Linked DNA regions of Arabidopsis thaliana. The protein of the gene in region 1 interacts with the protein of each later gene in a pairwise test. Each region holds a gene or a part of one and is shown in the gene's direction. Other genes may lie near its edges.

Region 1 (3,852 bases):
TCATATCTCTAAACCAAGTGAATATTTTATTTTTGTTTTAACGCATCTCCAAGTAAATGTTTTTTTATTCCTAAAGTTTTCTCTAAAGAAAAAATAAATATATATAGAAATCTGTATTAACGAGTAATTTTGGGTTTAATAATACTTTTTAATGTTAGGTTTTAGTTGGTAACTTCATAAATTAATCCAAATTTTTTGAGATTTTCTTTGAATGTTATTATCTCAATACTCTCTTACTTTCTTTGGTCAAAATTATCTCTTTTAAATGATTTTTTTATCCTGTCACAAAAAAAAACATATCCTTGTTTTATTTAGCTTTGGAAAAAAAAACAAGAAACTTGATATATCTTTTCAGACATCACATACTCTGCTTCAATGGCTACATCTCTTCAAACCAAATACACTCTAAATCCCATCACAAACAACATCCCAAGAAGCCACCGTCCATCGTTTCTCCGTGTCACTTCCACCACCAACTCTCAGCCTAACCATGAGATGAAGCTTGTTGTTGAGCAACGACTTGTGAATCCTCCTCTCTCCAACGACCCAACTCTACAATCTACATGGACTCACCGGTTATGGGTTGCAGCTGGCTGCACCACCGTGTTTGTCTCTTTTTCCAAATCAATCATTGGAGCATTTGGTTCTCATCTCTGGCTCGAACCATCTTTAGCCGGTTTCGCCGGGTATATCTTAGCAGATCTAGGTTCTGGTGTGTACCACTGGGCCACCGATAACTACGGTGATGAGTCTACGCCTCTAGTAGGAATCCATATCGAAGACTCTCAAGATCATCACAAGTGTCCATGGACAATCACCAAACGGCAATTTGCAAACAATCTACATTTTATGGCTCGAGGCACAACCTTGATAGTTCTCCCACTAGACCTTGCTTTTGATGACCATGTGGTTCATGGCTTTGTAAGCATGTTTGCATTTTGTGTATTGTTTTGTCAGTTGTTCCATGCTTGGGCTCATGGAACGAAGAGCAAGCTTCCACCTCTTGTGGTTGGGTTGCAAGACATTGGGCTTCTTGTTTCACGGATACATCACATGAATCATCACCGAGCACCGTATAACAACAATTACTGCGTAGTGAGTGGGGTGTGGAACAAGGTTTTGGATGAAAGCAATGTCTTTAAGGCAATGGAGATGGTGTTGTATATCCAACTTGGGGTGAGACCGAGGTCATGGACCGAGCCAAACTACGAATGACGGAAGAAACCGACATATCCAAATGTTAGCCGTCACTTTTAGCTATATTCTTCGCTTTAAGTGGGAAAAACTCGATTTTTTAGCCGCGGCTTCGAGATTAATTTATATTTAGTTTAAGATATAATATGTCAAAAACCAAATGTTTTCTTTTACTTAAAAACATGTAGATCACAATTGTGATAGATTTGATAAGTTTAATATATCATTTTTGGGTAAATGTAACAATTTCTAAAATGTTTGCATTGTATGGAAAGTGATATTCAAGGTTTGTAGATAGGATATCTTTCTCCGTTATACATATTTTTTTTTTCTATGCGGATAATTGAGTCTCATCACTTATCGAGATATCTCTTTACATTATTGCTTTTACTCTGACACTCGGAAGCAAAAGTTTTGTTTGCTTGTTATATTGTGTAGTTGTGGACCTAAACAGTTTTCAGGATCCTAACGGAAGGTAACTAATTAAGGCACAACCTTATTTCATACCACCCAACCAAAGTTCAAATGTTTAATTTATATCTAATAATTTCTTATGCGTTAATATATACTTAATCTTTTAAATAAAATTAAATTACATACCTAATTTATCAAATTATATGCAAAATTATATATTCTGCTGACGTTAGATACCACATATTTGATGATAATGATGACATGAATGCCATGTTACTAATGACACCGTTGCCATGTCATCTAGATTATTTTTTAACAAAAACTACGTTAATCCAAAAATGTACTCATTGCTTTTCACCTAACATTTAAATAAACAAGAAAATAAAAATAGTTAGCACACCCACGTTGACATTTCAATTCCATGAATCATCCCATCTCGTTCCCATTCATTTCACTTAAAAGTCAAAAACCAAGTAAGCCGCAAAAGAAGATCATAAAACCCAAAATGACTTACACGCTTCAAAACGTTGACATAATAATGCCGTCCACACACTTATAAATACTTATATGTGTACACACAAAGCCATCAAGGTAAGACACTTCGCTTCAAATCATTTGTGTATTACAGAAACTTCTGATCGTCATGGAAGCTACTTCACAACCATGTTTCTCTCATAACTCCTCACTTCATTCGACCCGTAAGCAACCGGCAAAGCCATGGAAAAAACCCGTAACGGGCTTGCCTCAGAGGATGCATCCTAAAGTTTACAGAGTCGAGCCTGTTAACTTCAAGGAGTTAGTTCAGAGGCTAACTGGTGCAGAAGACGTTGAGCAAGAGGTACATCAAGTTGAAGCTAAACCAGTCAAGATTTCTGATGATACAACAACAGCTAAGGATAATCCGTTCGCGTTTGATCTTTCACCTTCGTCATCTCGGTTCTGGGAAGCTTTCCCTCTGCTTAGTCCTGCTAATCTATCAAGATGGTAGCAAGAAAGAAGCTATTCTTGCCAATTTTTCGGCAATTCATGAATTTGTTTCATCAGAATTAGAACTGTAGTAGTAACACTTTATGATCTTATCTTTAAATACAAAAGTTACTGTTACATTACAAAACTACAATTTGATATAACCAATGATTCAAAACCGACCTTTTCGAACATTTGTTTACGAAATTTACGCGCTACCTATTGATCCCAGTAGTTTCTCAGCTGCGACATGTGAAGAAGAAGCTCGTCTCTGCCTAAACCAGATACACTACTCGTCAAAATCCAAGGAGGATGTACTTTAAAATTCTCTCTAATGATTTGTTGGAAAGCTTTAATGTTCTCATCAGGTCTTTTCCCTTTCGTTGCTTTCATTTTATCGCATTTCGTAAACACGAAAGTCATCGGTACCTGAAAAATCATCGAAAAACGTCATTTAACAAGTCCTCAAAGCAACATTTCACTGAACACACAAAAGCCAGAATTGGTACCACATACATTGTTGCGACCAAGCCAATTAGCACAATCAAGATCAATCTTCTGAGGAGGAACACTTGCATCGATGAGAAGTAGAACACAAACAAGACTGTCTCTATTCAAGAAGTAACCTTTAGTAAACGCAGACCAATCTGTTTTCGCAGCATCTGAAACTTTAGCAAATCTGCAAATATATTCTCAACATCAAACAATAATAACGTTTATCTGAAAGCAAGATATCAACAAATACATATCCAAATCCACTATGTATCAGTTCAAACCGAGTTAGCCAACTCAACCGGTTCGGTTCGGAACCACCTTACTAAATTTACCAAAACTTAATTCTAAGTTTAAGTAAAATTACTAATAGACTATACTAAACTGAAATTTTATCCAAATGTACCAGTTCAGAACTAAGCCAATCGAACTACCAAACCAAAAATACCGAACTCTTATCCTAAATTTTACCAAAATGAACTGAAATATACCAAATTTAGCCAAAGAAAACTGATTGTTTTATCCAAAAGCAAGAGATCAAAACACATACCCATAACCAGGCAAATCCACAATGTACCAACTCTTATTCACCAAGAAGTGATTTATAAGCTGAGTCTTCCCTGTTTCACCAAATAAAAATCCAAACTTTCAGATTTCCAAAACTTAAAAGGTTCGATTTTTATAACCAAATTGAAAGGAATAAAAACACAAACCAGGTTTCTTAGAAGTAAGAGCAACTTCTTTCTTACGAACCAAACAATTGATAAGCGAAGACTTGCCAACATT
Region 2 (4,742 bases), on another chromosome or scaffold:
CTTCACTTTTGTAACAAACCCAATAACTTGTGCTACATGGGCTGGGCTAATCTCAAGACACAACTCTACACGATGTAACAAGCTAAACTCATAGTTTCGAATCTGATTGGAATTTAATTTTGTAAAGTAAAATATTACGGATTGTTTAAAAAAAAGAAATTGATCTTCGGTGAATTTTTATCTGCTATAAAAACAGAACAATAGTTAATTACTTACTTATATTCATTCAAAGTTAAATTCCAAAATGCTGAAACTCAAATGGACATAACTTACCCCAGTCGAAATAGTTAACTATATATTACCGGCGGTAAAAGCTGAGATAAAATAACTAATCTGTTCAAACTTTGTATATACTTAATTTCAAAGGCGATCAAATAAAAAACAGTCAGGTTCCTGAGTCAAGATTTGTAGTCAAAACCTTACTCTGATCCGTTATAGCCAAACTTGACTTTCCCTTTGTATGTTCATCAGTCTATTAATATTGATATCAAAACTGTACGTACAATAACGTACTGCACCAAATTTTATCAACAAACAAAAAATAGACTATACATAATTACGTATCAACTTCTAAAAGTTGTAGTGTAGTGATAAATGATAACGGATTGATTTGTATTTACCTTAAGGCTTAAACTGATCCATATATAATTTTATTCTTCATATGAAAATTTTGGTAAAGCCAATATAATTTTTGTGTGGTTGGTAACAACTGAAAATAATTAGGGCTATCGCAAAAGTACAACCGTACAATGAACTAATTTGCAATTTCTGAGAAGAATTTTGTTAGTGAAAGTCTGAGTCAACAAAACAAAAATTCAGGGAATTGAATGAATGATTGGGTCCCTTTATGAAACTCCCCATGAAACATCGTATGTAACTATCAGTGACTTCTTGTGCATCATGCTGAACTTCTAATCTCTTTTTTTTTTTTTTTTTTCTAATCTCTTTTAAATAGTAAAATCTACAAAAATATGATCCATTACTCATTTATATCAATATTTAAAATAAAATAAAATCTATATATCAATATAATTCAAGATGCAAACATTTAAAATTTACCTTACAATGATGTGAGTATATGTTACCTCCTATTTTTTATGTTTTAAACCGTATAAAATTTTCATATGCTGTTGGCTGTGGAAAAAGGGAAAACATGGTTATTAACTAAAAGCCCCATTTGGGATGTTTTGATTAGAAATTTTTATCTTGAAAAAATAAACTAAAGCCATTAGTGTTTTCTTTGTCGATGGAAAAAAAAGACATCACCTTTTGAAGAAAAAAATGACATCACCTTACTATTTTCTAGAAGCATAATCAAAGACGATTATATTTTGTCATAACGAAATAGTGTGGGGGGACGTGCAAAATTCTACTCACGTGTAAATACTTGGTAAGTTTTCAGTAGTTTTTTCTTAGGCTGTTTCACGTGATGTAACAGGATTTCATCAAAGAAGGCGTGCTTTGACCCAATCTAATGAAAATACACTATGATTTTTGGTAATTTTAATACTTTTGATGGTGATAGTGATATATAAATTTTAATGTTTGGTCCTTCAAGGCTGCTAGATTTTATTAACGGTCAACATGTCTTAATGATCAAAGGTCCTATCTATGCACAAAGCCATGTGCTTTTCGATTGATCTCAGTAAATGTTGAATGATTGTTGCTTTGTATAACAAATAGTTACCTTGTTTAATATTCTCAACAATAGGTTATAAAAATAATTATATGTAGTTAATCTTTGATTTTAAATAATTACTATTAAGTTATTTTCTTGCAGTTTCAAAATTGTTTTAAGTTTACCGTTGCTGTTAAATTCTAAAGAATATACAGAATGCAGTAATTGTTTCATCAACAGATGTATAAAAAGTCTTTAATTAGTCAAAAAAATTCTTCATTCATAAAATTCATTGGTAAGCATTTCTAGACTAGAGCCGTAAATATTTTCGGCCAATATAATAATTAGGAAAATATTTATTAGGAATTCAACGAATATGATAAAAAACGTTGGTCGTCGAAAATGTATCATGACGTCAGGAAGAAAAAAAACAAGAAAAAAATAGGTCGTCACATATGTTTTCATGTAGGACAAGATTACGATTATAAAATCGTTTCAAAAAGAATACGAAAAAATTTACTTGAATGAGTCACTTCAGTACCCCACAGAGATTATATCTTTCTCTCTTTAATCTCTCTATAAATACCTAAGTATGCAACTATGCATATAAATCTACAAAACATCTGAACACCCAAAGACACAGGAAGAGAGCTAAAGCTGATATATACTAAGTACTAAGATCATTTGATCAACCTAATCATCAACACCACAAAATTTTCTTTTCTTGTTTCTCTAATCGATTAATTTAGTAATAATGTCTGGAAGAGGGAAAGTGAAATCGGAGCCGATGAAGGTTGTGTTCATTAACACACAGTATGTTGAGACAGATGCTCGTAGCTTCAAGACCGTTGTTCAAGAACTCACCGGTAAGAACGCCATCGTCGCCGCCGGTCCTTTTGATTCGCCCTCTGCTTTCGACGGCCGTTGTTACGATGGCGGTAGTAAAATCGGTGAAGATACCAGACAGCTCCACGGCGGTGGCGGCGGAGGAGGACGAATGGGGACGACGACGGAGTTCGATAGATTATTCAAAGAGATGCCTCACATGGAAGAATTGTATAAACTATGGTCAGAATATTGAGTCATTAATAATTTCTGTGCAATGATTTTTAAATCATTCGTTTTCTTCCAAAATCTTTTCTTTTTTATCTAATGAGATAATGTTGTTGTTGATTTGATTTAATCATCTTAACTGGATCGTCACTCTTGAGATTAGGTCCAATAACGAATGTTGTGTTTTGGAAAGTAATTATGAGTTACCTTTCAGTACGGCCCATGTCTCCGAATTTTAAACGGGCTTATTATAGCTTTCATATGTTGTTTAAAAGGACCATGAAGCCCAAGTATATGCGAGATTAATACTTGGTTCTCTTATTTTCTGTGTATTTGGGTTTTAGAACCAATTATCAAAACAAGAAGTGTGAGTGTGTGACAAAGGCATTGAAAGCGACTAGCAGATTAAGAAGTCAGGCCTCAACTATGGGCTTTTCTCTATGGGGCGTCTTTGCTACCCAAGTCCAACTAGGTATTACTTTTTTTTCCATATTTTTTATATATTTATATTTCATGTTTTTCTTTTCTTGCAAAATAATGTTTTTAACTAAAAGAATTTTGATTTCACTAAAATTAGTAATTTCACTAAAAACTGTTTAATTCTTGTGACTATTTCACAATTTTTAGAATCCAACATGCGATACAGTTCACAACAACCAAATGAAGCATTATATGAACTAATCTTCTTGTGTTTATATATAAAACAGGTTTTTGTGTAAGTGCGTAAATGGCTGAGGCAAATAGCAACAAAACTCATGGTTAACCTTCTCTAACCAACCTTAACCAATTTTGTGTTGGGTGAACCATTTCCTTTCATCAACCCAAAACACACTCACGATTTTAATCGTCTCATCTACAATTCTTGTTTTATTTAACGTTCTTTCTTAATCTAGCTTTCTGGTAGTTATTTTCAGGGTTTTTTCTGGTATATAGTTGGGTTGATTCAACGATTATCCGAAACATTATACGTCAACATACAATACAAGTCTATTAAAAATTATTAGCTAATAGAAGTAGAACCTACTAAGCTATATTGTCGTCAACAAGAACCATTTTTAAATTCAATTAAATATAACATTAACGCCGACTAATCTAGTTTATGAAATATCACCAAAACTTTGAACACATAATGAGTCTCGTAACACACCAAAGATACTAACTTCTTTATTTTTTTCCATTAATAAATTTGATGGTAAATTACGAATATTGGACTATACAATTATGCAAATGCGACAAACAAAGATACAATTAAAGAATAAAATGTTAAAAAAGACATTATTCTGATCCAACTCGGTGCTTAAGACAAAACCGCCTTCACAAGATTTCGTATATTCTAATCCTTTTTTGGTCAACAAACAAAAAAAAACATAAATAAACGTAACGACGTCGTTTTACACGAAAATGAAAAACACACGCGAAGAAAGAAGCGCGTGGAGAGGAAGAAAGAAGCAAAGAGTTGGATTCTTTGGCTCGTCTCTTACTCCATCGTTTCCTGTTCCCTTTTAGCTTCTCCACATCATCACCATCTCTCTCTCTCTCTCTCTCTCTCTCTCTCTCTTCTGAGATTTTTCCGTCGAAATATTAAAAAGAAATTTGCAGATACAGAACTTGTTCTAATCTCTCTCTGTTTTTTTTCCCTATGAATTTTATATAATACGAAAGAGACACACAACACTGTATTATCTTTGCTTCTCTCTTCTCTCTCTTTCTATCTCTACAGAGTAAAGTTCTGATCGTGTCTCTTATCGTTTACCCAAAAACCCTTGTTTGATCTCTCGTCTCTTGTTTTCTTCTGCCCTCGAAGTTTTCAGGTTTCTTTCTTCTCCGATTTATCCTTCTTTTTCCGTACTTTTTTATCAGAACTTGTAGGGTTTCTTCTGTTTCAATTCGTGGAATATTTTGCAACTTCGATACGTAAATTACGTAATTAGGGTTTGATAATGTTTTATGTAACCAGCCCCGAATTGAATTAGTTCCAAAGTTAGGGTTTTTCTCTCTCAAATTAGGGTTTTGCCCCAATTGTGTTCTTATATTGAATTTACCATTTGCGCAGGTTATGTGGTGGAGGTTG
Region 3 (4,745 bases), on another chromosome or scaffold:
TAAACATATCGGACTAATATTTTTTTATGGGTTTGTGCAGGTGCTACGGTGAAACTAGTGTGTAAGAGCAAGAAGAACATAACAGCGGAGACGACGACAGACAAGAACGGATACTTCTTGTTGTTGGCTCCTAAGACGGTGACGAACTTCGGTTTCAGAGGATGTCGTGTGTATTTGGTGAAATCAAAGGACTACAAATGCAGCAAAGTCTCAAAGCTCTTCGGTGGAGATGTCGGCGCTGAACTTAAGCCTGAGAAAAAGCTGGGAAAATCTACGGTGGTCGTCAACAAGCTCGTATACGGTCTCTTTAACGTTGGTCCATTTGCCTTTAACCCGTCTTGCCCCAAATGAAGATGATTTGATGCTCTGGTTACTATCTTGATTGTTTCATGTTTAAAAAGATTGAGAGAGAGTGTTGTTATGCGTCTACTGTACGGTTGAATTTTAATCAATGTTAGCTAGTCTTTAAGTTAAATGCTTGGGTATTATGTTGTATCTCTTTAAGTGACGTCGTTTGAGTTTCGTTTGAATAAAAATAGCAGCTTTCAAGATGATTCCATTACATTACAAAACGAATGAGCAAAATGAATGTTAACTATAGAATCTTACAATTAGAATGTGTAACTAAATGAATAACTTGAATATTATTTTCTTTCTCAACTTGTATATCTTTTTTGTTTGATCAAATAAAAATGATAAAAATAGTTACGCTGCAGACAAAAAAAAAAATGATTACAAAGAAGGGTGAAAAGCTCGATGGGAAGGGGGACTCATCGAATAGGGTTTCTAGTCTGTTCTTGAATACGGAGAAAAATCAGCTGCGTAATTGTCGGCCACGGGGCTGACATTATTTCCCATCACAATCTCAAAGTTACAAAGGACAAATAATAATTCAAGATATTAATAAAAAACAGTTTTAACAAAAAGTGTTAAACAAGATTCAAGAAGAGTTTATGGGTTGTGGCGGGACGATTAAGCGATTGTACATTTAAAAAAAAAAAAATATTTTATAGGGTGTCATGGATCAAGATTCTCCTTAGCTCATAAAGCTTCTCACGTGCTCTCTTAAAAATGTTAACCGGGTTGTTATGCATTGGTTAATTAGGCCTCTACATTTCGGGTCAATAGAAAAAGTATGTTGTACACACTCACTTGGCGTAAACTAGTAACAGTATCATGATTGATTTTTTTTACAACTTCTCCTTGTCACTATAATTCAGTTTTTTATGAAGCAAAGAAGAATTTAGTCGCATTGAGAAGAAGCTAATTTGATGAAAGTGTTGATCACCTGTTTAATTATCGAAATTGTATATTGCGGTGTGAATCTTTTCTAACTTCACTCTTATTTTCTTCTTTGAACAGACACGAGATCAAATATCTATCCATGAGAGATTCATAAGGTTTGATCATTTCTAGTATTGACTATTTGGATAAAAGCATTTCACCAAAAATCGTAAGAGTGAAAAGGAAGAAGGTTTTGAATCTCAAGCCTAAATTCTAGCATCAAAATTCAAACATCTAACGTATTGAATAATGAATATGTCATCGATACTCCATAGTTTGATAACACCAATGTGAAAATATAAACTATATATAATACATGGCCCAAATAAATGAACACTAACTGGGCTCGGTTTCTTAACCCACACCGAACCCGTTTGGCAACAAGTAAAGCAACAACCTAAGTACACATAGATTTTCAATAAATATAAGGCCCAAAAAACTATTAAAGCCCAACATCTCTCCACATATGTTAAGTTCACTTAGTCAAACGACTAAAACCCAATGATTAGATTACTTCCAAGATAAGCATTTCTTGGTTGAATATATATATCACGACGACACGTAGATAAATCAACTTACCATAACATTCATTTCGAGTTATATTAATTCTATTGACCAAAAGGTCACATAAACGTCCTAGTCATCTAAACCATCATTGCTTATTGAGTTCAACATTTTCCTCTCATGATATTCAATGTTCTTTGGGTAAATTATCTCTACCTCTATCATTTATTGCCAAGACTAAAACCAAATAGAGCACATTTTTCCTCCCACTTTCAACGACGGCGCGTGACACGCACTCTCTAAATCAGCGCGTGAGCAAAGACCTAAAGAAACTAGAAAAAAGACTAAAGAGCCAATAGCGCCCACCGAAAACATTTTCTTACCGAACCAAAACACAAAGCTTATTAAACTCAAAAACAAAACACAGTTTCTCTCTCTCTCTCTCTCTCTCTCTCTCTCTCTCTCTCTCTCTCTCTCTAAAAGCTCTCTTCTCTTACAATGGAGAATTCACCGAGATACAGAGAAGCGACGAATCTGATTCCGTCGCCGAGATGTCACAACAGCAACAACAGTTGCGGTATGAGCAGTAGCAGTGAAAGTAACAAACCACCAACAACTCCGACCCGACACGTAACCACAAGATCCGAATCCGGTAACCCGTACCCGACAACATTCGTCCAAGCAGATACTTCTTCCTTCAAACAAGTCGTCCAGATGCTAACCGGATCCGCCGAGAGACCCAAACACGGTTCATCTCTCAAACCAAACCCGACCCATCATCAACCCGACCCAAGATCCACTCCTTCTTCTTTCTCAATCCCACCAATCAAAGCCGTACCTAACAAGAAACAGTCTTCTTCTTCAGCATCAGGGTTTCGTCTCTACGAGCGTCGTAATTCAATGAAGAATCTCAAAATCAATCCTTTAAACCCGGTTTTTAACCCGGTTAATTCAGCTTTCTCTCCCCGTAAACCGGAGATCCTCTCTCCAAGCATCTTAGATTTCCCATCTCTCGTTCTCAGCCCGGTTACGCCTCTTATACCCGACCCGTTTGATCGATCCGGGTCATCAAACCAAAGCCCCAACGAGCTTGCTGCGGAGGAGAAAGCAATGAAAGAGAGAGGCTTTTATTTGCATCCATCTCCGGCAACAACTCCGATGGATCCAGAGCCTCGACTTCTTCCTCTATTCCCGGTGACTTCTCCTAGAGTCTCAGGTTCTTCATCAGCTTCTACTTCTTGAAAAAAAGACCTAATTTTTCTTTTTTACTCAAATTTTTATTATCCTTTTGTGATCTTAATTATATATTATAATTGGGGAATTGAGATGAATCATGTTGAGAATTATACGAGAAAATTTGTAATGTTGAGATGTTTGCTAAATCCAATTCGCGATTTCAATTGTATTAATGGTTTAATATTGATGAGTTTATTCTGCAGAATTTGATAAATTAGATTAGTACTGATAATAATTCAGTGAGTTTTGTACAATTTTAGTGAAATGAGCAAATTGTTTTTTGTTTCTATTCTATTTTATTTCCATAAACACACAATTAGTTGCATTCTACATTTGTTTTTTTTCAGTAAACAAAAGATGAAGAGATTGGTCTTTAGAGGGAACCAAATTGGTCCAACCTTTTTTTGCTAAGGATTGATGAAAGGGTAAACAAAAAGAAAAAGGAGTGTGGAAAATAAAAGAGATTTTTTTCTTGTTATTATTATTTTCATATTTTCTCCTTAGAAAAAGGAGAATACGAAATTGAAAAAAAGAAAGAAAAGAGTAAATTGGATAGAAGGAAGATAAAGAGTGGGGCTTAGCTGTCTAAAAGAGAGAGTATTAATTAAGAGGTAAGGAATCTTTTGACTATATTTTCTTTGAATTCATGATTTGATGATAGGGTTTTTAGAGATTTGACCGCTTTTACCTATATTTGTGGCCTAATGAATGATAATGATATTGTTTGTTTTTAACCGTAACAAGAACAAAAAATTGTGGTTTTGGATACATTAGAGTACAAGTTTTGGTTGTGGTCACTATTGGGTCTAATAATATCTTGGGGTAAAAAATTATGTTTTGAGTGTTTCGTTTTAAAATATAGTTGAAGGTGGACTTAGTGGCATATGGATTGAGGTAATGGGCATATGCTAAATTGGCCCCATATGATTTTTATCTTTTGAATATTTCTTGGTCAAAGGTTTTTTTGTTTAGAGTAAAATTAGGCTTGTTGGAAACTTTCAAAAATTAGGTGTTTTAATTGGTTACACAAAATGGACGTGGTCAAAAGAAATAATTAACACTTTAATTATGTTAGTATTTATCATTGAATGGTCTTCGAAGACTAAAAATTAAATTAAACTTGACTCAATCTTCTCATGGTGGACCGGATCTATTATCTCTTCTCTCTCTAAACAAAAAAAATTCTCATGTGAAGAGAGTTGAAGTGTGGGCCCCATTTCCACTATTGGTGCTATTGAGAAGTTGACCTATTTTTAAAATTTCTCTCTTTATAAAACAAAAAATAATATCCTAAATTTTATTTTATTTTTAACTTTTCCACTCTTTTGTGAATATATATGTACTATTGATCAAATCTTACCCACTAGAATCTAATCCCGATTTTTTTTTATCATGTTGTACCTAAATTCCTTAAATATATACCAAGATTTAGATGACAAATGCTTCTTCATTTACAAGTTACAACAAAGAATATTATTCCATACAATAAAATGAGAAAGGTTATTTGTAAAATTTCATTTTCTAGTATATTTAAAAAAGTTAAGCTTTTTTTTTTGTGGTTTTCAAAATTAGAAAGCAAAAAAAGAAAAGTCAAAAAGTAATGGAGATGTGGTGTGAATAGCAATAATGTTTCAAAGTTAGGTTCTCATCTCACTTCAAAGTCTACTTTGGCTCTATTTCTTTTTAAAATTTAATGACTATGTAGAAAATGACCATACAGT
Region 4 (4,510 bases), 7.8 Mb from region 1:
AAAGGCCCTCTCGTTATTGGACTTTTTAAGCGTTTAAACTTTATAAATCAAGGGTGTATTTAATTCTTTAGGGAAAATGATTCTATGAAATTATGAATGATGAGTAATCAAGGTAGGTAGGCGAGTGAATATGCTTATAATTCTCCCATGATTTTGATTTCCTTCTTCCCCAGCAGGGAACAATACGTGTTAGCATGTGGGACTCAATCATATATCCGCATCTACATTCATATAATAAAACAACATATAAGATTAGTTTTCTTTTGCAACACTAATTTTTAAAAAATGTTTTAATTAATCAACAATAATCATGAGAAACAATCTATACTATATAAAAAGGCAGGTTTCCCAGTGTGAATAAGTTTTCACCTAATGCAGCACGAGTGTTGAATTAGCATTGTGCAAATTTGGATTAGTTGATTAATCAGCAACCACTTTTGTCCTCAGAAATCGAATTAAAATTTTCAAAAATTAATTGCCAGCCAAACAAGATATATACACAACACAAGTTTGGAACTGGGAACCACGTCAAGTAAAGAGATGGTGGGGCCCATAACCCATACGGCTCTAACGTTTTTGACAACATTGCTTCTTTAGCCGCTCGTGTGGTCCGGATCCAAAAGAGAGCACAAGACTCGTGTTTCCGTATACAAACCCAATTCTTTCATTGGAGTTTCACCTCTCTTTCTTTTTCTCAGCCTTTGGATTTCTTTCATATCCCAACTCTTCACGTGTACATGTACATCCGATGGCTATTATCCGTTTTAAATCTTAGGTAAACAAGATATAGTATGGTAAATATATTGCTTATTCTAGTTCAATTGTTGGTATGATATCTATACCACACAAATATAATATTAGAAAGTCTTGGCTTAATTATACAAAACATCTCTTGTTAGTAAGAATGATATATGTATGCCCTCTAACATGTTCTTGTTCAAGTTTTTCAACTAGTGTGTGTATATTTATACTTTCTATATAAAATATATAGGACGTTACTTGACTCGAAACAGATGTATTGTTTTCTATTTGTTTGTGATTGGTTTGTTTTGTATAAGACAGTGTATCGCTTGTCCAATATATTATATAGTGTGTTTGGATGTGATAAGTACTGTAGAGATTTCAAGATAATTGTTTCTTATATCCAACAAGCGTTAGAAAATCAAACAAGCATAGACATACACTACACATTATAATTCACAAATATTGTACAAAAACACTTAGGAATTGAATTTGTTAAAAGGTCAATTTGATTCGCAAGGTAAAAAGGAAAAGAGATAAGATAAAAGTAAACCAAGTAAAATGGAGAGTCGTCAGGAAGTGGAACTGCCTCGTGCACCCGAGGGTCATGCCATTTCCATGTCCTTACATTATTACGTCCGATTTCGTACAATCTTATCTTCCTTTTTTTGGTGATAAAGTGTACATTAATTCTTATCTTTTCATGTCTTGTTACTATTCATAAGTTCGTTTAAATGGTTATTAACCTCTCATGACATTTCACAAGTTCATTTCATAAGTTCGTCTTGTTACTATTCATAAGTTCGTTTAAATGGTTATTAACCTATCATGACATTTCACACACATATATACGTATTTAAAATTTAGTTTTATATATACCACTAGCTGTGACATTTGTGGTTCTTAATTATCAAGACATGTCTATACGTTAAATTTACACCTTGCATATATAATTCTTTCAAATTATGTCATCCAATTTAGTTTAGTTAAACATGTACTATCTGAGATTCTCGTTGTTAAGGCTGTAATCATAGATTATAAAAAGTGTTGGTAGTGGTCCACACAAATTGTATTTTTATGTTGAACTTTAGAGATTGCAAATGATAAGGTGGTTGAGTTTGTGTACATTACATGGGGACAAGTTTCTGCAATCCTATAGGCATTTATTTAATTGAAGCCACCTGGATTTATGCGTAATACCTTAACTAAACACACATTGCCAAATATACTAATGACAACTTTTACTTTATTTCGACTATGTTGAGATAAAAAATACATTTCAATTGGAAATATTGTATGTGTCACCTTCATGAATTATATAAACTCCAACTTTAATATTGTATCGTTTTTACACCATGTGTACACATTTACTTGTATGAATGCGAAAACGATTACAAATTACATGCAATATCGTACGTGGATCTCTGACCACAAAAATTTAATATCAATGATACTAAATTACAATATGCTAAAAATATAATGAATTAATGTCTTAAGACATTCCAAAACGAGGATTTTGTTATAGTTGGAGGGGTCCCTGGACTTCCTTTGGATTCATAAATCTCATGTCTTCGGAGACAGCCTGACACATCTCTTTCATCAATATTCAATATAAGTGTAATCTCATATTGTATGTTAATTATTCAAACTATAGTTTATCTATTGAATCTCAACAAGACATCAATCAATATTATTTGCCTTTATTAATAATATATTCAGGATCTTTACGTTCTGCTACGATATAAACTAGAAATACGAGTTGACAAAAAAGAAAAAGAAAAGGAAAAGGATTAAACATATATTACCTAGTTGTCACTAAAACTTGTACATCTAAAATAGTTGATTTTTCTTTACCATTTTCTTCTATCTTTTCTCCTATATAACCTTAACCTTATCACATTTCACTTACCAAAAAAAATCACCAACTCTCTCTTCTGATCACATAAACCCTAATTTTTATTCTTCTACAAAACTATGGAAATTGAAGCTACTACTGTTCAGAAAAGAAGAAGCTTACCAACAATAGCCATGCACAAACAGTCAAGAACACTCACCAAATCTAAACCTAAGATCCGAATCATTCACATATTCGCACCGGAGATCATTAAGACCGATGTCGCCAACTTCCGGGAAATCGTCCAGAATCTCACCGGGAAACAAGATCATCATCACCACGATCTCCCCCACCAAAAGGGTCTCAAAAGAAACCCTAGATCTAGAAGAAGTCATGATCATCATGAAGTCCATGACATGAACAAGAGCCATGGATTTTGCATAAACTCAGATGAAGAGGAAGAAGGGATGGTGTCGATGACGTGGAACGGAAATGGTGACGAGAGCTCCGGTGGGTTCTTGAACGGGTTAGGAGATCTCGACGGCTTCATTCAGGAGCTAGGTGAATTTCCTTATTTACCCTTCACCATTGACCCTGCCGTTGCTTCTTCCTCCCACTTACATGGCAACGTTTTCGCAGAACCTCACCATTACGCCTAAAACGTCTCAAGCGGAAGAATCTTTTAAACATTTTATTTCTTTAAAATAGGTTAAAACTTTTAATAATTTTTTGTTTTCTTCTTTTATATACTTTCTAGAAGCTAATTTTTGTTTTTTTCGATAATTGAAATGTTTGACTTTCTAGACAATATTCTTGTGGAATCGTGGGAGGTTCGGGTTTACGATTATTACGAGTTCTATTTCTGCATAATTTTTTCCCTCTGGTTTTGTATTTTTTATATGATTACACTATAATCTAGTAAGTAGGTATGAAATTTTATAAATCTATATAATTCAAATCCACATTATAATAATGATAAATCACAAATAGAATTTCGCAAACTTTTTACCAAGAAAATCCTTATTAAATATGTAAGGATTATGAAAATCTATAACAAAATATCATTGGGATTGGCTATAGCGTAATTAACTAACACTATCTGAATATAATGGACGTTTAGAAATTCTATGTATACTTTTTTCCTCACTTGCGATGTGTTTTTCTCGCTTATCCAAATGGACTGAGAAATAGACTTATTGATCGATTGACTGATACTTAACATAAGATAAGTACAAATGGGACCATAATTAATCAAGATAACAAATATAATATTTTAAAATTACAGATATGAGCCGACAAGTAACCACAATTACAAACGTGTATATATGCATGTGTGTCACGGTGGTGATGGTGATGATGCATGATGATGATGGAACTACACATGACACATCAAAAGATAACCCGCATCATGTATTCATATTTGATCAAGTTGGCATTATAAATCAACTAAGAAAAATATTAAATCTGAGCTGCCTCTTACATAGAAAGAGTTTATTAAGATGATCAAAACAGAGAATCTGCAAGTACTTGGATAACTTGAGAAGATTTGCCGAGCGAACACAAAAGAAGGAAGGGGTTTTGATGTATGGAGATGACCCTCAAGTTATTAACGTCATACATTTACAGACACCAACTTGGTGGTTGGTTCTTGTAATATAACACACAGAGAACATAGGAACAAGAACAAGAACAATGGCTAGTCACATCTAACTATCATATTCGATAGTTTCTACAACGGTCGATGATGGTGTTTCTATCCTCGTTAGAACTTCAGGCACTCCTTCGGTATCTCTTACTATCTACGAGAAAAAACAACCAAAAGCGGATAAAACTCGGTTAGTGCAACGATCTCAGTCTCTCTCACCATTCTTAACAAAATATTCAACAAACTTACAAGAATCTCTTCATCTAGATAAGATATCATGAAAAATCTTT

The links.
Region 2: the proteins of AT2G22880 (region 1) and AT1G78410 interact in a two-hybrid assay, tested with the Arabidopsis thaliana proteins (one study listed by BioGRID).
Region 3: the proteins of AT2G22880 (region 1) and AT1G28280 interact in a two-hybrid assay, tested with the Arabidopsis thaliana proteins (one study listed by BioGRID).
Region 4: the proteins of AT2G22880 (region 1) and AT2G42140 interact in a two-hybrid assay, tested with the Arabidopsis thaliana proteins (one study listed by BioGRID).

What each region holds. Positions count from the first base shown.
Region 1 is NC_003071.7:9,739,863-9,743,714, reverse strand, and holds AT2G22880 (VQ motif-containing protein), read left to right. Parts: upstream 1-2,251; coding exon 2,252-2,596; downstream 2,597-3,852. Other genes in the region: AT2G22890 (Kua-ubiquitin conjugating enzyme hybrid localization domain-containing protein), read left to right, coding at 376-1,215; EMB2001 (P-loop containing nucleoside triphosphate hydrolases superfamily protein), read right to left, coding at 2,794-3,003, 3,091-3,253, 3,617-3,686, 3,780-3,852.
Region 2 is NC_003070.9:29,500,356-29,505,097, forward strand, and holds AT1G78410 (VQ motif-containing protein), read left to right. Parts: upstream 1-2,226; 5' UTR 2,227-2,372; coding exon 2,373-2,699; 3' UTR 2,700-3,143; intron 3,144-3,378; 3' UTR 3,379-3,583; downstream 3,584-4,742. UniProt on the Arabidopsis thaliana protein: May modulate WRKY transcription factor activities.
Region 3 is NC_003070.9:9,884,937-9,889,681, reverse strand, and holds AT1G28280 (VQ motif-containing protein), read left to right. Parts: upstream 1-2,203; 5' UTR 2,204-2,286; coding exon 2,287-3,030; 3' UTR 3,031-3,371; coding exon of another isoform or gene 3,372-3,385; 3' UTR 3,386-3,605; downstream 3,606-4,745. Other genes in the region: AGP31 (arabinogalactan protein 31), read left to right, coding at 41-351.
Region 4 is NC_003071.7:17,567,688-17,572,197, reverse strand, and holds AT2G42140 (VQ motif-containing protein), read left to right. Parts: upstream 1-2,528; 5' UTR 2,529-2,715; coding exon 2,716-3,234; 3' UTR 3,235-3,521; downstream 3,522-4,510. Other genes in the region: AT2G42130 (Plastid-lipid associated protein PAP / fibrillin family protein), read right to left, coding at 4,282-4,374, 4,470-4,510. UniProt on the Arabidopsis thaliana protein: May function as positive regulator of plant growth.